Linked DNA regions of Mus musculus. The protein of the gene in region 1 binds, or shares a complex with, the protein of each later gene. Links are inferred from orthologs where the notes say so. Each region holds a gene or a part of one and is shown in the gene's direction. Other genes may lie near its edges.

The links.
Region 2: Tctn1 (region 1) and Tmem231 share a complex: the UniProt entries of both Homo sapiens proteins name them as parts of the tectonic-like complex. The link is inferred for Mus musculus from reciprocal best matches to the Homo sapiens genes TCTN1 and TMEM231.
Region 3: Tctn1 (region 1) and Tmem67 share a complex: the UniProt entries of both Homo sapiens proteins name them as parts of the tectonic-like complex. The link is inferred for Mus musculus from reciprocal best matches to the Homo sapiens genes TCTN1 and TMEM67.
Region 4: Tctn1 (region 1) and Tmem17 share a complex: the UniProt entries of both Homo sapiens proteins name them as parts of the tectonic-like complex. The link is inferred for Mus musculus from reciprocal best matches to the Homo sapiens genes TCTN1 and TMEM17.
Region 5: Tctn1 (region 1) and Tmem107 share a complex: the UniProt entries of both Homo sapiens proteins name them as parts of the tectonic-like complex. The link is inferred for Mus musculus from reciprocal best matches to the Homo sapiens genes TCTN1 and TMEM107.

Annotation. Positions count from the first base shown.
Region 1 is NC_000071.6:122,243,874-122,247,867, reverse strand, and holds part of Tctn1 (tectonic-1 precursor), read left to right. Parts: intron 1-250; coding exon 251-336; intron 337-1,193; exon of another isoform or gene 1,194-1,242; coding exon 1,243-1,383; intron 1,384-2,204; coding exon 2,205-2,367; intron 2,368-3,994. UniProt on the Homo sapiens protein: Component of the tectonic-like complex, a complex localized at the transition zone of primary cilia and acting as a barrier that prevents diffusion of transmembrane proteins between the cilia and plasma membranes.
Region 2 is NC_000074.6:111,930,601-111,935,381, reverse strand, and holds the start of Tmem231 (transmembrane protein 231), read left to right. Parts: upstream 1-1,568; 5' UTR 1,569-1,615; coding exon 1,616-1,754; intron 1,755-1,852; coding exon 1,853-2,022; intron 2,023-4,781. UniProt on the Homo sapiens protein: Transmembrane component of the tectonic-like complex, a complex localized at the transition zone of primary cilia and acting as a barrier that prevents diffusion of transmembrane proteins between the cilia and plasma membranes.
Region 3 is NC_000070.6:12,053,272-12,057,265, reverse strand, and holds part of Tmem67 (meckelin precursor), read left to right. Parts: intron 1-2,136; coding exon 2,137-2,235; intron 2,236-2,433; coding exon 2,434-2,520; intron 2,521-2,970; exon of another isoform or gene 2,971-3,119; intron 3,120-3,222; exon of another isoform or gene 3,223-3,491; coding exon 3,492-3,591; exon of another isoform or gene 3,592-3,679; coding exon 3,680-3,819; exon of another isoform or gene 3,820-3,984; intron 3,985-3,994. UniProt on the Homo sapiens protein: Required for ciliary structure and function. Part of the tectonic-like complex which is required for tissue-specific ciliogenesis and may regulate ciliary membrane composition.
Region 4 is NC_000077.6:22,517,410-22,520,128, forward strand, and holds the end of Tmem17 (transmembrane protein 17), read left to right. Parts: coding exon 1-112; intron 113-971; coding exon 972-1,250; 3' UTR 1,251-1,822; downstream 1,823-2,719. UniProt on the Homo sapiens protein: Transmembrane component of the tectonic-like complex, a complex localized at the transition zone of primary cilia and acting as a barrier that prevents diffusion of transmembrane proteins between the cilia and plasma membranes.
Region 5 is NC_000077.6:69,069,375-69,073,870, forward strand, and holds Tmem107 (transmembrane protein 107), read left to right. Parts: upstream 1-1,434; 5' UTR 1,435-1,572; coding exon 1,573-1,659; intron 1,660-1,849; coding exon 1,850-1,917; intron 1,918-1,999; coding exon 2,000-2,100; intron 2,101-3,048; coding exon 3,049-3,145; coding exon of another isoform or gene 3,146-3,224; exon of another isoform or gene 3,225-3,371; coding exon 3,372-3,441; 3' UTR 3,442-3,919; downstream 3,920-4,496. UniProt on the Homo sapiens protein: Plays a role in cilia formation and embryonic patterning. Requires for normal Sonic hedgehog (Shh) signaling in the neural tube and acts in combination with GLI2 and GLI3 to pattern ventral and intermediate neuronal cell types.

The DNA of each region.
Region 1 (3,994 bases):
GGGGCAGCACCGTCAGTCTAGAAGCATGACCCAGCTCCCAGGCTGCGCTGCAGGAGCTGTGGGGTTTGCCTGGAAGCCGGGTGCTGTCCCGTGCCTGGCAGGCTCACCGAGTGCTGTCCTCCCACTCTCCGGGATCTATTTATACTTGAGAACAGAGGGAGCTGTTCTTCCAGATGTTACAGTGAGAAGCACTGGGTTGCCCCCGCTTGTACCTAAATACTGTAGCCCGGGGCATCACCTTGTCTTTCAGCATGGCACCAAGCCTGTTCCTCTCAGCGGCAACCCTGGTTACAGGGTGGGACTCCCGCTGGCTGCTGGCTTTCAGCCTCAGAAGGGGTATCCTTTTGGAGGTCCGCAGAGAAAGTCACCTTCCTGTCTGCATGGGTGGGCTGTGGTAGCCTATGGGAAAGAGATACCTGACTGGCCACTCCAGGCCACTGGAATGTTTAAGGAGAGCCTGGTGCTTGGGGGGAAGGTGGCAGTGCATTTAAAAGGACAGCTAGATGTAGAAGGGTTTGACTCTTTGATTCATTTGTTCACTTTTGGTTTTGTGTTTTTGAGAAAGTCTCTCTTGCTATGTACTGAGCTCACAATATAGACCAGCCTGGCCTCAAACTGACACAGATCCTTTTGCCTTGCCTCCTGAGTCAAGTAACCAAAGGTCACACTTTGACGTTGCTTCAGATCTCAGGCTGGCTGTGGCCTGGCCTTGATTTCAGGATCCTCCTGTCTCAGCCTCTTGACCACAGGCATGTGCTGTCATACCTGGCCAGCTCACATTTAAACAGAGACTCTTAAGCAAACAGAGTGGCTTTGCAGATAAATTGTCTGTTTTCTGCATTGGTGAGGATTGAAATCAGGTCTTGAGATACTAGGAGAGTGCTCTGCCACCGGGCTGAGCCTTGGCCCACTCCTTACACGTCATTTTGAAACAAGGTTCCTTCCGGCAAGTTGCCTTGACTGGTCTCAAACTCACTTGTAGTTCAGGCGGTCAGTCCTCAAATGTGCAACCCTCCTTAGCCTTTGGAGGAGCTTGATTATGGGCCTGGCCACTGCAGCCGGCTGGAACTAGTTTCGAAGATGGGCCAATCAAGGAAGAGATTTACTGGCATGTTTGCCCCTTCCTGGTAACAGGCCAGGGGCTGGGAAGAGCTTGGTCTCACTGAGTACGCATGATGCCATTTTCTTCCTAGACAGTCTGTCTGCTCTGAACTGTTGACTGTCCCTTAACAGCCTGTGAATATCTGGGATTATTCAGACAACGAACAGACAAGGCCAATTTACTATTCTTCGTAGCACGAGCCAGCAGGATTGCCTTGCCAGCGAGGGGCTTCGCACCCCTGTGCTATTTGGCTACAATGTGCAGTCTGGCTGTCAGCTCAGGTGAGTGACTGTGGCAGAGAGCACACACCCTTCCATTTTAACCACGTCACTAGCACAAGTGCCGCAGCCTTCCCTCTTTCCTCACCTTGGGGCTTGACACATCGTGCTTAAGGTCAAATAGCAACTAGCATTTAAGTTCTGAGCAAAAGTGTTTCCTCTGAAAATCCTTCTATTTCTGAATTTTTAATTTTTACCCACACAGCACAACAGAACAACTGAGAGAAAGCTGTGCTGTGGGAGGCAAGGTCTCCCTATGTAGCTCAGGGCAGACTCAAACTCCTGGCCCTCCTGCCTCAGCCCCCTGAGTTCTATAATAGCATCTTTGGAGCTTTGGTTCTCCATATTTGTTGCTGAATTCCTACTCTGTACAAATCCTTCTCTTTTTCCCTTCCGTTCTCACCCCCATGCCCTTCCCACCTCTTTGGAGTGACTCTGTTACTAGTTTGATTGCTAGCTCTGATCTCAGATCAGTGTTGCTTCCTAAGAGTTCCACCAAACACTGCCACAGGATGCCAGGATGCAGGAGCCCAGGATAATCCCTGGTTCCCTCCTGTGGAACTTGGTGTTCCAGCACCCTTTAGGAGGACAGGATGTGGGAAAAGCACTGTGTTGCCTGGCTTCTGCCCATGCCACAATGTTCATAGAGGGAGAAATGGTGGATCACTGGTTGGGAAACTGCTTTGGACCATCTCCATGACCAGGATGCCCCAAAGTCAGGGCCACATCAGCACTTGGAGGAAAGAAGGATAGAAGTATAGAGGCTGGCGAGTCTTGGAGGTTGTCAGCACCTCCCTCCTTCGGCCTCTCTTTCCTTCCCAAAGGTTGACAGGCACCATCCCTTGTGGGCTTCTGGCACAGAAGGTGCAGGACCTGCTGAGAGGCCAGGCCTTCCCTGACTATGTGGCTGCCTTTGGGAACTCCCGGGCCCAGGATGTGCAGGACTGGGTGCCTGTGCACTTTGTCACCTACTCCTCCAACATGAAGGTAAAGAGTGTGAGGGGCTGCTGGCCACCTGCTCATGGGCCAGGTGGGCCACAGGTGGCTGGGGAGGCACGAGGGAGGGAGGGACCAGAGGGAGGGAGAGAGGGAGGGAGAGAAGGAGGGAAGTGGCTGCAACCAAACTGGGCAGTTTGCCCAGCTCCGCTTTTCCTCACAGTGCCTTTGACTAGTAGTTTTCAAACTTCTGCAGTCCCTGTGCAATGGAAACTGAAAGGACCAGAATCAGCCTAGGACCCCAAGAGCAAGTTCCCAGGACAAAGGAGAGCAGGGAATAAAAGACAAAGACAGGAGATAGAGGGTGAGGGAGAAGGGAAGGGGAACAAGGGAGAGGGGGCTGGGGGCGTGATATTTGCCCTGCAGGGACAAAGAAGTGCCTCTGGATAGAGAGGAGACAGACAAGGCCCATAGGCAAATAGAAATTTCTAAGGGATGAAGTGTTTCATTTTAATTAGGCATGTTAATTAGGGCAGCTGGAGGGTGCTTTTGATTGCTGGACTTCAATACCTTGATAGCTGGACCTTGGTGGTCAGCCCCAGGAGGAGGAGGTGGCTAAATGAGGGAGCAGACCTCCACGGCTGGCTTTAAGGATGTCATCTAATGATCTAACAAGGTGGAGGGAATGGGGAGAGGAGTCAGGCCTGCCAGAGTCATGGTTGCCGTGCTCGGCCTGCTAGAGCCCTCCAGAAACTATCACTGGCCACTCAGGGTTATCCAGAGGGTCACTTGTTTGGCTGTTGGCTGGACACAGTGGTCACTCCGTAAAATGGAACCATAGTTGAACATGGTTGAGAAATCCCCTAACCCAAAAGAGTGACATCCAAATCTGAACCATGTTTAATGCCAACCAATGGCCTCATGTTACTACCAATGGCCTCGTGTGGTGGCCACTGTCAAAACTGTCTGTGAGAGGTGGACATGAACAGCGGATTCCCCGGCCAGCATATATTTCTCAGTCATCATGGTTGTGCAAATATTCCAAAAACCCAGGACATCAGGCCCTCCAGACCTTCCTGCAGTCCTCCAGTCCAGGACGGTCAGCTTTGATGGCAGTGATGCAGCAAGCCTTCCTCGAGCATTGGGTGACAAGAGGGACATAGGTGTGGCCTCCTGTCTCCACTCCTTCCATTTCATGCCCTCTGGGCTGTAATGGCAGTCCACCCCCACATGAGCTCTTTCAATTCCAAAGTTCCCCAAAGAGTTTCATGGACGCTGGCATCCTACAAATAGCTTCCTGGTCACACGTGACTCCTCTGCCCACCTCCTCCTTTTGTCTTAGCAGCAACGCGTGGGCCGTCCTCAGCGGAGGTGTGCGCTCCATTCTCCCCTAATTGCCCAGCTATTTCTTGTCACAGCTGCTTCAGGCCTCTCATTATCTGCTTTGTATATTTATAAGGAGTGGCTCAGTGGGGAGAGGAGCCTCACTAGATCCCCATTCCAAGGGGTGCTTAACCCCTGTACTCAGCCTCCAGTGAACCTGGGGTATGGCTCTTAGCTTCGCGGCACTGGGTAAAGACACCCGTTATTAGTGCCAAGGGAAGCCGGCCCAGGGCATCTGCTGTTCACACCCACTGCACCTGCAGCAGCTCCTAGCAACGGGATATTGGCACGCCAG
Region 2 (4,781 bases), on another chromosome or scaffold:
GACTGCCTCTGTCTCCTAAACACTGGGATCAAAGCTGTGTGCCAACACCTTTATTTTAACTACATGTGTTTGGGTGTTTTGCCTGCGTGTGTGTCTATGGACCATGTGTCTGCAGTGCCCACAGAAGCTGTTGGATCCCCTAGGACTGGAGTTACAGTTGGCTCTGAGCCCCTGTGTGGGTGCTGAAAGTCAAACCTTGATCCTCTGGAAAACCGGCCTCTCCAGCTTACTTACATGTTACACTACATTTACTTATTCATTATTTGTGCATAGATGCAGATGAGCACCATGACAGGCATGTAGAGGTCAGAGGACAGCCTTTCCAGAATTAAGATAGATGGTGGGAGCTGGAGAGATGACCCAATTGTTAAGAGCACCGATTGTTCTTGCAGAGGACCTGGAGAAAGGAGAATTGAGGGCCAGCACAGGCTACATAGTAAGACCCTACTTCCAAACAGGTAAAAATCTGTCTTCCATGTTAAGATATTGGTGTTAGTATTTACCTAAGTGATCAGCTAATGCTAACTTTGGGGAAGACAGTATCAGTGTTTATAGCTAACAAAGTACAACAGAAGGAGCCATTTAGTAAAATACCCTTTAACCTTTTTTTTTTTTTTTTTTTTTCCGAGACAGGGTTTCTCTGTGTAGCCCCGGCTGTTCTGAAACTCACTTTGTAGACCAGGCTGGCCTCAAACTCAGAAATCCGCCTGCCTCTGCCTCCTGAGTGCTGGGATTAAAGGCGTGCACCACTACGCCCGGCCTTTTATTTTTTGTTTTTGTTCTAACCTTTAAATAATCAGGGGGTTTGTTTCCTGTTTTCTATCTTTCCTGCTATGGGGCATAGTGAAAGCATTAACCTTGAAGACAAAAGTACCTGGTTCTAGGACGGTGGCCTTGTTATAGGAATGTCCCGACTTCAGTATGAACCTCAATGGAGTTTTTGCATTGAAACAAAGTCTCCAGTATCTCTGGCTGGTCTCAAACTCACAATGTAGCTAAAGATGACCTTGGACTTCTGATCCTTCTGTCTTCACCTGAAGAGTTGTTAGTGTTACAGATGTGGGCCAAGGTGCCTGGTTTAATGAAGTGCTGGAGATGAACTCAGGGCTTCCTGTATAGTAGGCTAGCCCTCTACCAACTAAGCTACATCAACCATCCTTATGTCATGAGTTAATAGATGATCTATGGGGTGATGTCAACATCTATGCACGTCTGATTTTGTACAATTGACACAGACTTTGGTGAGTGAAAATATCATTACAGTTGCTTTCTTTTTTTTTTTTTTAAGATTTATTTATTATATGTAAGTACACCACTGTAGCTGTCTTCAGACATTCCGGAAGAGGGCGTCAGATCTCATTATGGATGGTTGTGAGCCACCATGTGGTTGCTGGGATTTGACTCAGGACCTTTGGAAGAGCAGTCAGCGCTCTTACCGGCTGAGCCATCTCACCAGCCCATACAGTTGCCTTCTTGAAGAGACGCGCAGGCACAGCACTAACACAGGACCCTCCTCCTGCTAGCTCCACCCCCTTCTAGAGGCCTGCATGCCTGCTATTGGTTCCTCTGCCCGCCGTCGGTTGCCGTGGAGACTCGGCGCTGCGGCCCTGCGCTCATGGCGCTGTACCATCTCTTCTCTCACCCAATCGAGCGCGCTTACCGCGCGGGGCTCTGCTCCAAGGCCGCGCTCTTCCTGCTGTTGACCACCGCGCTCACCTACATCCCCCCGCTGCTGGTGGCCTTCCGGAGCCACGGTGAGCCTGCCCGGGCCTGGAGGGCCACACGGCGCGGCCGGCGGGCCCAGGCCGGCAATCCTAACCTGGCTCCCCCCAACCCGCCTTGTCTCCCGCAGGGTTTTGGCTGAAGCGGAGCAGCTACGAGGAGCAGCCGAACGTGCGCTTCCAGCACCAAGTGCTGCTCGTGGCTCTCCTGGGGCCGGAGCCTGAAGCCTTCCTCGCCTGGAGCACGTTCCCCACCTTCAACCGGCTGCAGGGGGCTCACCTGCGCGTCCCGCTCGTGTCGGTGCGTGGTTCCCGCCCGGATCCTGGGGGTGATAGGATGGAGTGAGATCCCAGTTTGGGTCATTTGACCGGGTGTGAGAGCAGAGTCTCGTGTATCCCAGGCTTGCCTTAAACTATATAGCCAAAGTCGTCTTTCAACAACTGATACTCGGCCTTCACCTTCCCAGTGCCGGGGATTCGCTATGCAACGCCCTGCTGGGGTATATGGGGTGCTGGGAATCAAACCCAAGGCTTTGTGCTTGCATGCAAGGACTTAACCACTGAGCCACTCTCAGTCCCACAGCTTGGATCTTAAGGAGCCACGAGGGTTGGAAACAAAAGTCCCTTTGGCCTGCGCATGCTTAACTTTCTAGATAGTTTTATTCAGTTTCTCCAGGTTTCCCTAGAAAGGCAGCCGTGCAGGCACTGTGTTTGCCGGACAACAAGAGTCCAGAGCCTGTTTCTGGTGCTGGTCATTTTCTGAATGGAAAGGTGGCTGAAGAAAAAACCCCTTTGAGGGCTTGTAGGCGGAGTTCTGTACACCCCAGTACGCTGCTGAGTTTGAACATCACCAAGCTGTAAAGACAGAAAGTACCAGTGTTTTTATGCAGACTTGATGCGGGGTAGGGCGGGGCAAGCGGTGATTGGTTGAATTCTCAGGTCCTGCTCTAGCCAAGCCACGCCTGTCTGGGTTAGGCTTCTCAACTCTTTGCCACACTGCAGCTGTCTCCTGTGTAAGGGAAACATTTTACTGGCTGCAGTTTAGTGTTTACTTTCGCATAAATCAAGTGCTTCCTTACGGTCATCCCTTGCCGTTCATATAATGACATGGGCAGAGTGATGACTTTAACTAGGTGTTTGTTAGTAAATATTTTGTTTCTAACCTCCACCTGAGGCAGGATTGCCCCCCCCCTTCCCTGACCTATACAGCAAGCTCAGGGCTATTCAGTCTCAAAAGCGTAGCGCTGGCATGTAAAGTCAAAAGACAACTTGGAGGGGTCAGTTCCCTCCTGTCACTGTCCCGGGAATCCAGCTTGGATTCCCAGGGTTGGCTGCAGGAGTCTTTACCTGCTGAGCTATCTCATTACCCATCCTTGATTTTTTTTTTTTTTAATTTGCTCCAATCGTTTTACTATTAAAATTAGTAAGTGAATAAACAAAGCTTTAACTAAATCCTACAGCTTTTTTATTCTTTTTGAGATGGGTTATTGCTATGTTGCCTGCCCAAGCTGTAAGCCCAGTTCAGCCAGCTACGAAGCTGGGACTACAGACGTGAGGCCCAGACTTAAGTCATGCACGTCTGAATGCCAGTGGAAGCGTTTTGTTGAAATTTCATGCACTTAGAGAAAACAAAGCAAGCAAGTAAAGTAATTGTTAACTGCAAGGAAATAAGCCACGAGAAGACGCTAGGAAGGATGCGCAGTCAAGGTTGCGAACCGGACTTGCGTAGTAGTCTTAGTTACGACATGAAAGGCTGACTAAGCAAAATGCGCACCTAGGGAAACTGAAGGGATGAGAGAGGGGGAGGTGCGATGGGGCCTGGTGGGAGTGGGAGGGGAGCGCAGGCTCCAGCTTCCCCCGTGGAATGTCAGTAGAGGATTCTCATGAAAGAGGTGGAGACTCGGCAAATCTTATTTAAACATCTGGAAAGCGTTTCTTTCTATTTGTTAGAACAGGGTTTCTCTGTGTAGCGCTGGCTGTCAAATAACTTGCTCTGTTGACCAGGTTGGCCTCGAACTCAGAGATTTGTCAACCTCTCCCTCCCCTCTGCTACTACCGCCAGCCACCCAGCCTGGGGAGGGCTTCTAACACACTCTCATTAGGTAACTAATGCAAAAGTTTTTGCTTTGGAAGTTTTGTTTTGTTTTAACATCATTGCACTCTTTTATTCTTCAGATGGTCAAGACTCTTCCCCCAGGCCACCAACACATACCCTTTTAGTTTCTTGAGACTGCATGTCATGTCATCCAGGATGGCTTGGTTTTGTAGCCTAGGATGACCTTAAAGACTTTGTGTTTCGGTCTTCCAGCCTGTGCCTGCTCAGCGCTGAGACTGCAGTTGTGAGCCACCACGCCTGCTTTTACTATTTATGTACTTACCTTGCTGCTTTGCTTATTTTATTCTCTGTGTGTGGGTACTTTGCCTACATGCACATATATGTATACTATGTGATGCCTGGTGCCTCGGATCCCCTGGAACTGGAGTTATAGACAGTTGTAAACTGCCCTATGGGCCCTGGGAATTAAACCAGGATCCTCTAGAGGAACCGCCAGTGCTCTGAACTGCTAAGCCAGCTCTCCAGCTCCATTTATTAATTTATTTATCCCTAAGACAGGGCTTTGTAATGAAGTCCAGCTATGGGCCAGGTTGCCCATATGGATCTGGTGATCCTTCTCTTACTAACTACGAAGATTACAAGCAAGGCCGGCCACACCTGGCCCCATTTTTATTCTCAAGCCTCTAATGCAATAGAGCCTTCCTAGTGCTTCCATCCTTTAACACAGTTCCTTATGCTGTCGTGACCACAACTAAAAAATTATTTCATTGCTACTTCATAACTGTAATTTTGCTACTTTTATGAATTGTAATGTAACTGATATGCAGCCTCTGTGAAAGGGTCCTTCAGCTCCCCACCTCCCCAAAGAACTTGAGATCCATAGGTTGAGAAACTCCGCTCTAAGGCCTCTAGAGAAGAGTGATTGGGTGAGGGGCCAGGGTAGAGGTGGACCTGCCCTTCCCTGTGTACTCACTCACTGAGCTTCTTAAGATCCACACTTCATG
Region 3 (3,994 bases), on another chromosome or scaffold:
CTTTCTCATACAGCTAGAAGATGAAGAAGAAAGTTGCCTTTGATTTGTCTGGAGTTTAAGTTAGGAAAACTATTTTCAGGTCATAGAACAATTGCAAGCTCGCTTCCTTCCTAGGATCCCGTAGAATCCCCATTCCCACACCATTTTTATTTTTGTCTTTGCCAGTGCTTGGAATGTTTCAGCCTTTCCATTTTGTCCAATATAATGGCATACATTGATTGTATTTTTTTGATTTATTTTTTATGTACTTTAAATTTTTTATTTTATGTGTATGGTGTTTTGCCTGCATGTATACCTGTGCACTACATGTGTGCCTGATACCAGAAGAGGGCGAGGACACCAGATCCCCTGGAACAGAAGTTATGGGTGGTTGTGAGAGATGGGCGCAGGGAGCAGAAAGTGTTGTTAACTGCTCAGCCATCTCTCCAGTCTTGTGTATACTCTCTAGATGACTGGGCTCCCTTTCTTGTGAGCTATTTAGATCTCTTGTTTGTTTTTCTATTAGGTTTCTTCTTTTTCTTATTCATATGAAGGAGTTTGTCTTTTGAAAATATTAATCTCCTTTTTCTTTTTCATGTTGAAATCTTTTATGCAAATTTATGAGCTACCTGTTACCACACCTTTCACAGTCAATACATAATTAGCATTTAGTATTTATTTAACTTCCACACTGTCAAATTAATTTTGTGTGTGCTATATATATTATATTTATTGTGTTTAGAAAACTTGCCTATCTCAATGCCGAAATATATTATTCTTCCTTTTACTCCATTAAATTTATAGTTTAGAGTCAGCTATTGGATGGAGCACAGGGCCCCCAATGGAGGAGCTAGAGAAAGTACCCAAGGAGCTAAAGAGATCTGCAACCCTGTAGGTGGAACAACATTATGAACTAACCAGTACTCCGGAGCTCTTGACTCTAGCTGCATATGTATCAAAAGATGGCCTAGTAGGCCATCACTGGAAAGAGAGGCCCATTGGACACACAAACTTTATATACCCCAGTACAGGGGAATGCCAGGTCCAAAAAATGGGAATGGGTGGGTAGGGAAGTGGGGGGGGGGTATGGGGGACTTTTGGGATAGCATTCTAAATGTAATTGAGGAAAATACGTAATAATAAAAAAAATTTAAAAAAATTTATAGTTTACTTCTCATTTAATCTTTGAGGGTTTTTTTAACTAACATTTGTTGACTATTTACTGTGCACCAGGCACATGTTTTTATTAGATATTTTCTTCATTTACATTTCAAATGCTATCCCGAAAGTCCCCTATACCCTCCCCAACCCTGCTCCCCAAACCACCCACTCCTGCTTCCTGGCCCTGGCATTCCCCTGTACTGGGACATATGATCTTCACAAGACCAAGGGCCTCCCCTCCCAGTGATGGCCGATTAGGCCATTCTCTGCTATATATGCAACTAGAGACACAAGTTCTGGGGGTACTGAGCTTGTGTCTCTAGTTGCATATATAGGGTTCCTCCTATAGGGTTCCTCCTACAGGGTTGCAGACCCCTTTAGCTCCTTGGGTACTTTCTCTAGCTCCTTCATTAGGGACCCTGTGTTCCATCCAATAGCTGACTGTGAGCATCCACTTCTGTGTTTGCTAGGCCCTGGCATAGTCTCACAGAAGACAGCTATATCAGATTCCTGTCAGCAAAATCTTGCTGGCATGTGTAATAGTGTCTGGGTTTGGTGGTTTTTTGGTAAACCGTGGGCTGCACTCCATGAGTTCTAAGCCATTTTGTGTTCCTCCTGCATGGTCCTCAGCAGGTTCTACTCCTGGAACATACATGATGGTAGAAGGGGAGAACTGACTCTATAAAGTTGTCCTCTGACCTCTAAATAAATACATTCCACGGTACATACACTAATGCACACAAATCATGCCTACACACACGCATACCTGCACATACACACATGCACAGATGTATACACACACATACACACACAGAGAGAAGTATCTTTATACTTTTAAGTTCTTAAAATAAAAGCAGTGCTTTTATTATTTCTATTTTATATATGATGAAAGTGAAATAGAGCTTATATTTTCTGCTCAATTGTTTAGCAGAAATAAATGTAATGATCAGGTAACAAATTGAATCTTTAACAATTGTAATTCTTTTTAAATTGCAGACAGTTATGAAATTCCTGCTGTACTATGCTGGTGATCTGGCCAATGTGTTTTTTATCATCACAGTGGGAACAGGTCTTTATTGGCTTATTTTCTTCAAAGTGAGTGAGTTTCTGAACTTACCCTAAATGTCAATATCTGATTTTTATAAGAGACCTAATTCTGCTCAAGCTCACAGACAGCTGCGAATGCCCCACCCTTTGGTGTCCCGTTTGTGGAGATCAACGTGACTTGCTGTGTGTGTGCTTCCTTTGGTTTGTAAGTTGTGTAATAAGAGCCTTGTGTGATTGTTACTGTAGGCACAGAAGTCAGTCTCTGTTTTGCTGCCGATGCCAGTTCAGGAAGAACGTTTCGTTACTTATGTGGGGTGCGCCTTTGCTATGAAGGTAGGTTTCAAAGAACAGCTTACCCAATTTCAAAAACATGCTAAAAACCCAGTCTTTCAAATTCAATTAAAATTTTTGGTGTAAAATTGTCTTGGTTTTGAAAGAAAGCATCAGTTATTTTATTGTAGATAGGAAATGTGCCTTTATTTATAAATGTGCCCATTTAAAGTTATACCTTAAATCATGTCTTCAAAGAAGTTATAAATTTGCATTAGCAATCATGACTTACAGCTAATTTGACAAAATGATATTTCAGTGTTTAACTTTTTCTATAAAATTACAATGGGATGAAATAGTGGATTTTGTCTCTTTGTTAATGAGGATTAAAAGCTAAGTCTGGTGATGTGTTGGAATTGTAGAAATCAGTATTAACTTTCCCTCCTCATCCTTCTGTGGCAGCCACCCCTCCAGCTGTGCCTTCCCCCTTGTAGCTGACAGCTCCACACATACCTATTTAGTAGCCACATCCCATTGTCTTTTGGACGTGAAGTCTCTGCTTTAGCCACTGAGAGAGGAACTCTTCTGCAGAGTTACCATCCTGTACTTGGTCAACAATGCACCCAGGATGAGAACTCGGTGTAGATGGACCGTTCCTGTAACTGAGAGAAAGATGTTCCAACAACACACGGCTTTCTAGCTCAGTTCCAGAGACAGGAAAGACAGCAGGGGTATCTACTGCTTCTACGGGGCTTTGCAGCTTACCTTTGTATAAAGAAGTCAGACAATGTGCAGAGCCTAGAGGAAGGGAGTCATTTATGCAAGGGTCCTGTAGGAGAGGGGGAGGGAGGATATCTCCTCTTTTCTCATGTTCCTATTTTAAGGGGGGAAAAAAAAGAAGGCGAATTAATAGGTGTGTGGCTTGGTATATGATGTGCCCTTGTGATTATACTTGCTTTGTAAAGAGTATGTAGCTTTATAATTGCTCTTGAGTGATGATTCTTTTCAAGTGTTTTGTTGTATGTTACTTTTAGGCTCTCCAGTTTTTACATAAGTTCATATCCCAGATTTCCATAGATATATTCTTTATTGATTGGGAACGGCCGAAAGGAAAAGTTCTTAAAGCTGTTGAAGGTAACTGAAATTGGTGTTTGTGCCATAATTCTCTTGCTGCCTGCAGCGCAAAGGGAAAGTGCTGTACTCACGTGATCTCCCCTCCCAGGTGAGGGTGGTGTGCGGAGTGCCACTGTTCCTGTGAGCATATGGAGAACGTATTTCGTGGCAAATGAATGGAATGAGATTCAGACTGTGAGAAAAATTAATCCACTCTTTCAAGTGCTTACCACACTCTTCTTCTTGGAGGTATGTATGAGCTATCATATAATCATATGATGCTGCTTATTAACACTGCATAAGTGTTATTATCATCTCAAGTAATTTCTCAGACAGCGCAGCAGTTTTCTGTGGTAAAGTATTGTTGGCAAAACAGTATAAGGAAGTGTCCTTAACATTCCCCCTTTGTCCTTCCTATAAAACA
Region 4 (2,719 bases), on another chromosome or scaffold:
TTCCATCTTGCCTGACTACTACAAATTCATTGTGGTTACTGTCGTCATCCTCATAACCTTGATTGAAGCGATCCGGTTATACCTGGGCTGCATGGGTAACCTTCAGGAGAAGGTGGGTTCCTCCCTTCCCCGCAGGGCTACAATAGAGGGTTAAGGTTTTTTACAAGTAATGCAATGGCCGGTGTGAAGTGGCACCAGTCTGGGTCTAAAGGGCAGCTCCAACGTGAAGACTTAAGTCACTGTCTGATCTTTTGAGCTCTGGTTTCTTCATATACTAGACAAGGAAAATAACACTTGACATGTTTCTGGGATGAAGTGCAATGATCTTATGAAGTATCTAAACTTAATGAAATCTTTGGTCAACTGTAGAGGAGTGGGAACAAGAGTGGGAGAGACAGGGAGGGTAATGGGGTGAATAAGATTGCCATGATGGGCATTCTATGCGTGTATATAGCTATAATAATGGTCATTCAGTGCTTGGTCTGTGTTTTCTGAATCATCATCCTGCCTAAGTGTTTACAGTTTCTAAAGTGGTTAAATAATTCCTGTGGTTTGCTAGGCCCTTCATAACAGGCCCCACCTAGAACATCTTATTGATTTTCTTGGTATTTCTTAAGCCAACCATCCATGCTAGGTTGCTGTGTTGATTCCTAGTCATACCCAAGCTTCCAGGTAGGAGAGCTCCCATTGTGTACAGCTCGAAGCCTACCTTTCATTTGACTTCTGTGGTAGTTGGTCTGGACCTTTAAATGTAGTGGTTCATCATTCAGTGGTGTTAGTTGCTTTACATTAAATTGGTTTTCTCATCTAGACAGTAGATTTCTCTGAATACAAGGACTATGGCATGCTCCTGAACTACTCACAGAGCCTATAATATAGCTTCTTTGTATTGCTAAGTATATGTCTGACTGTATAACAAAACCAAAACTGTATTCTACTGATCTTACAACACTCAATGTGTGTCACTGCAGGTTCCTGAGCTAGCTGGCTTTTGGCTTCTGAGCCTTCTACTGCAGTTGCCTTTAATCCTTTTCTTGCTCCTTAATGATGGCCTAAGGAATCTGCCCCTGGAGAAAGCAATACATATCATCTTCACCATCTTTCTTACTTTCCAAGTCATCTCAGCATTTCTGACCCTAAAGAAAATGGTCAACCAGCTGGCAGCCCGTTTCCACCTCCAGGACTTTGATCAGCTGTCTTCAAGCAGTGCAGCTGTAAGGAGGGTAAGACAATGCACGGAAGAGCTCTGACCACCTGCTGACCATATGCTGAGTGGTGAACGACAGAAAGATGATACAAGAGGACCAGGAAGTGAGAGAGTGACAGGACATCTGAGTCGGGCCCGAGAAAGGGGACATACGTGCTGGGGTGTGTCCTCCAGCTCTGAAATCCCCATGGAGGCAATGCCAAGGCTCACTCATATCAACCCTGCAGCTGAGGGGATATTCCTGATGTTGGATGAGTCTGTTGGCAGTTTCATACCACCGTTTCTATAATATTTCTGATTATAATCTGTGACAAGAAATGTATGGCACTTCAGACGAAATTGCTTTGTTCAGTGGAATCTCACCAAGTGTGACAACACCCTCCAGGACATGTCCTAGCTCAGGGGGAGTCAGCTAATATAAAATGAACTCCGTGGTATTCTTGTGGACTTTTTGTTTTATTTTGCTTTGGTTTTGGCATTTCTGTCTTATTATTAAAGAGTAAAAAGATGAGATGGAGTTGGGAAAGGGGAAAACATGAAAAATATATGGTATGAAGAAAAGAATTAATAGAAGGCCATAAAACATAAGCTATTGATATTAAAATATCCACAACATGTCATGCTTATCTGTGTAGTTCTTTTGAACTATTAGGTTTATGGGATTGTTTGGGTTTTTTTCTAATTTTTGTGTTATGGGTATTTTGCCTGCATGTATGTGTACCACATGCATGCCTGATGCCCATGAAGGCCTGAAGAGGATGTCAGATCCTCTGGGACTAGAGTCACAGAAAGTTGTAAGCCACCATGTGGGGCTATGACTTAAAGTTGAATTCTCTGGAAAAACAGCCAGTGTTCTTAATAGCTGAGCCATCTCTCTAGACCCATGAGATTGTTTAAATTGGAGTTGTAACATGAGAAAGCCTGATATATAGCAAGCAGGCAATGGTAGGCACATTAATTCCTGATCTCATCACTAACTCATTCATGGTCACTAACAAACTGCTAAATAGCTATTAGATTCATATATGAAATTTGGATTGAAAACAGTATGTCTTAGTTAGGGTTTTACTGCTGTGAACAGACACCATGAACAAGGAAACTCTTATAAGGACAACATTTAATTGGGGCTGGCTTACAGCTTTAGAGGTTCAGTCCGTTATCATCAAGGTGAGAACATGGTAACATCAAGGCAGGCATGGTGCAGGAGGAGCTGAGAGTTCTACATCTTCATCTGAAGGCTGCTAGCAGAATATTGGCTTCAAGGCAGCTAAGATGAGGATCTTAAAGCCTACACTCACAGTGACACACTTCCTCCAACAAGGTCACACCTCCAAATAGTGCCACTCCATGGGCCAAGCACATACAAACCATCACATTCCACTCCCTGGCGCCCATAGGTTTGTTCAAACACATGAGTCAATAGGGGCTATACCTAGATATAGCATAACAAAAAAGCACATTTAGTTCAACTTCCAAAGTCCCCATAGTCTATAGCAGTCTCAACAGTGTTAA
Region 5 (4,496 bases), on another chromosome or scaffold:
AGTGGAGGGTGCTTACCTACCTATATGTAAGAGGCCTGGAGCTTATCTCCAATACTGAAAAAAAAAATCAGGAAATTACATGATTACAATGCTGTTGTTTAAGTTACAAACCCTATACAAAACTTGCCAAGCATCTCACCTCAGTCTTTTATAATAAAAGGGGGCGAGGGGGGGGCAATTCTTTTGCCTGGTTTGGGATCTCAGGTTCAGTTAGACACCCCCCTACCCCCCGTTCATTTAGAAGACCTCCAGTCTGTCTTTCATGACCTTTAACTGGCTTAGGAAAGGGAACCCCATGTATTACTTTAGGGAGACAGAATCATTTCTTCTTCTTCTTCTTCTTCTTCTTCTTCTTCTTCCTCCTCCTCCTCCTCCTCCTCCTCCTCCACCTCCTTCCTCTCTCTCTCTGCCAATTCCTTGAAACAAAAATTTAAGAAGTATCTATTTTCAAAGCTTCCCTTTGATATTATTCTAGTATTATCTTTTAATTTAAAAAAATTATAGCACGCATTACCTCGCTGGGTTTTGTTCTTGTTTTGGCTGTTATCAATCTCCCCACCTAGAATATAACCTGGAGGGACTTTATCGAGGTACTCTCAGATTTGGGGCACAGTGCCTGGCATCTGGGAGACATCAAATATTTGTTGAATAGATGAAATCCCTCTGGTCCTGAGCCTTGTCTTTTGGGCTGGTTTAGAGGCACAAAGAAAAAGGAATGGAGGGACCAGAGAGTGCAAGTGGGATGGGAGGTCCATTGACATGGGACTTGATTGTGAACTGGAAAGTGCTGAGAACTTTCCGATTCTCCGATCTGCAGGGATTTCATCCGAAGCCCCAAATCGGTCACATCACCCTAAGAAGAGGTTCTTGGTCTGTAACTGAGCAATGTCCGGGGCCTAACAACTCAGAGCAAGAGTGAAATCGGTGGTGGGTCAGCGTCCCAGCCTAGGCTAAGCGCAAGCAGTTCCAGTCCCCCGCTCCATTCTTCACCCTTTCAGATCCCCTCGGTTCCCGAGGCAGTCACCTCACCCACATCCAATTTTAACCATCCCAAGGCTGCTCATTTCTGCACTCGGCAAATCTCTCATGACACGGAGACAAGTTATTTAGGAAGAAATTAGAGTCATTCTTCGGCAAAGTTTTGCTCTAGGGCGGAAGGGGGAGTCCTCTGACAACCAGGGGCTAGGGGACTTAGCCTGACCCTGGGACAAGCTCGGTGCATCAGCCTCTCCTCGTTCGTCCCCTCGACTCCTAGCGCCCAAGGCAGTGAGTGGGAAGCACAGGAGAAGGGAGGATTTGGTGGTTCTGGCTGCATCCTCTTGGGTCCATCAACGGCTCACGTACCGCGCCTATAGACGTTGGTAGAGGGAGCAGCACTATCGCGAGACTTCCGAAAGCAGCAGCGTGGCGCTTGCGGACGCAGTTACCATGGCAGCCGGGCGGCGCCCGAGCGCGCGGGAAGGACACTTAAGTAGAGAGGTCTGGCCTGCTTGCTCAGGGAGACTTGATGAGTGACCCACCCCAGACTTCCAACCTCAAAACCCACGGCCTCCACTCGAGGCCCCCGAGGCCATGGGTCGGATCTCCGGGCTCGTGCCCTCTCGGTTCCTGACGCTCTTGGCTCATCTGGTGGTTGTCATCACGTTGTTCTGGTCCCGGGTAAGACGCGGACAGGGCGCGCGTGCGCGTGCCCTCCTGGCCCTCCCATTCTCATCTTGGAGTGGACCCAGCTCAGCTCAGTCCACTCACACAGGGTCCGTTCGTTGCTCCGTTCCCCGGCCCCTTCCCAACTTGTCCCCGCAGCCCCATTCCTCTTTTGACATTTCTTTCTTTCTGCCCGGCTCGCCAGGAAAGCAACATCCAGGCTTGCCTGCCTCTCAAATTCACCCCGGAGGAATACGAAAAGCAGGACAACCAGTGAGCTCTTGGGGCGGGGTGAGAGTGCAGGGGTCTTCAACAGAATCCAGAAACCTTGGTCCAAGCCCTTTTCTCTCTGCAGGCTGGTAGCCGCGCTCTGTCTCACCCTGGGCCTCTTTGCAGTGGAGCTGGCTGGCTTCCTCTCAGGAGTCTCCATGTTCAATAGCACCCAGAGCCTCCTCTGTATCCTTTTTATTTGGCCATCGTCCTCAGGTGACTCATCCCAGTTACCACTCTTTCCACCTCTGTAGGCCTTTGGGGCACAAGTGTCTGCTCTACATGGTAAACCGAATCTCTCTCTAGGTGAGAGGTTTTAGACACTGTTGGGGAATTAATAGACTTCAAACATTCGTTAAATCCGGATGTGAGCCAGGTTCTGGCGATCCCTGGATGGGAGTAAAATCATTTTATCCCGTTTGAAGAGGTGGCAGACAAACATCTGTAAATCAGTGTGATTAAACAGTATGCTTGTAGGTGTGTGTAAAATACAAAGCACTATGGGAACTCAGAAGGGACCAAGAAAATAGAGCCCAGGTGTGGTTCTGCAAGCCTTTAATCCTAGTGCACGGGAGGCAGGGGCAGGTGAATTTTTTGGGTTTTTTTAAATCTTATTTTACTTATATATTTAGGTTATCTAAGACAGGGTTTCTCTATGTAGACCTAGGCTGTCCTGGAACTCAGTAGACCAGGCTGGCCTCGAACTCCGAAATCCACCTGCCTCTGCCTCCCAAGTGCTGGATTAAAGGCATGCACCACCACTGCCTGGCTTGTTTTGTTTTGTTTGTTTGTTTGTGTTTTTAAAAAGGTAGCTCTTTACTCTTGAATTGTGGACAAGGAAGACCAGGGCACTGGAGAAATCCCCAGTGTATCAGATCTGTAGGTATTCTTGTGTGGCCTAGGGCATATATGACATTAACCTTCCCAGAAGTGTACAGAGTGTACAGGGAGAGGTCCTATCAAAGCAAACTCAGCTCTGGTCTCTTACACATAACTGTCCATAAATTCAGAAGGCATTGGCTGCCAACTCTGGCGCTTGTCTTAAGGGAAGGGTACAAGCTGAACCCAAGTCCAGGTACCAACGGGGCCCATCACGAACCGATTACTTTCCTTGACCCCCTCTGTATTGTTAAGCCATTGCAGCCCACTGTAGCGCGTCTGTGGCCCTGTCTTTCTTCGTATTCGAGCGATGGGAATGTACCACGTACTGGTACATTTTTACCTTCTGCAGGTGCCCTAGCACCCAATATTTTGGAATGGGGGGGGGTGGTGGAAAATCGATCCCAAATCTGAAGGTTTCCCCCACCTAGACCTTTCCTGCACATGTGAAATTGGTAGAGTTTTGAAGAGTCATACCCACCCTAACCCACCCGCATATAAGGTTTGGAGGTTCAAGTGTTTGGGTTGGAAGGGGCTCTAACTCCCCCCCCTCCCCCGCGGCCCCGTACTTTTCACAGCGCCTTCCCAGCTGTCACTGAAACTGCATTATTCATCGCTGTCTTTGGGCTGAAAAAGAAACCCTTCTGATCACAATCCGGGTGTAGGGACCAAGGCTGGAAAAGTGATGAAGCTTCCTCCCACTGCTGCAAGAAAAAGGCAGAGGCTTCAGTTTTCTCTCGCCCAAGTCCCTTGCTCCTCCCAACTGCGGCTAAGCAGAGGATGGCAGTGTTGGAATAAGATCTCTCAAATCTTGGATTATAATTTTATTAGAGTTTTGTAATAAAATTTATTTTATAACAAGAGCAAGGCGTATACTATTTTTCAGAAGACCATTGGATGGGCCAAGAGGCTGGTATAAATAAAGGCTTTTATCTTGTGGTTAGGGCTAGAAGTAATGCTTCTATTTGGGTTTTTACGCTAGAAGCTAGGCGGAAGTGAGTGGGCGGGGATATGCAAATAACTATCTCACATAGCGCTTCTAATTTGCCGCGTGTGAGGGGAGCATTCTGGGATGGTTTTGTTTCTCCCTTTTTGTGCCGAATGGAGAATAAAATACTTCAAACGACTTGCAAATAGATATTATTCTTGCGTTGCAAGAACTGTAAGTCACTGGGCTCGTGCTAAAGTGACGTATTCTCACCCTTCCTTTAATAGGAAATGTCTCTACTTATTTAGCAATGGGCTCCCTCTGCCTTTTATCGTCAGGAGGTTAATCCTTACCTGTTCCTCCTTTCGGAGGGCAGTAGAAAATGATGATTGGAGCTTGCATGATCTGCTGATTAGCATTTCCATGCAATCAGGACCTGACAACATCCTGGTTGCTCCTATCTGATTCCCTGGCGATCACACTTTTCCAATGTGCTGATTGGTAGACCTTTACAGCCAGACTGTGTGCTGTTTATAATTTGTCCTAAACTGGCCAGTCATAGTTTTAAGGTCTTCACTTCTATGGTAAACAATGCCATCAAGGTGGCTGTTGGTTGTTTGCCCAGCTCCTGGAAAGCACCCATGGCCACTCCTTATGCTTGCCAGGAGGTGCTTTCTGATAATTCCTTAACTATTACCTAAAGCATCTCTTGTCTTCTTCCCCACATTCAATTTAATGATCTCCTTACCATAGGCAAAGCCCTGTTAACAGTACT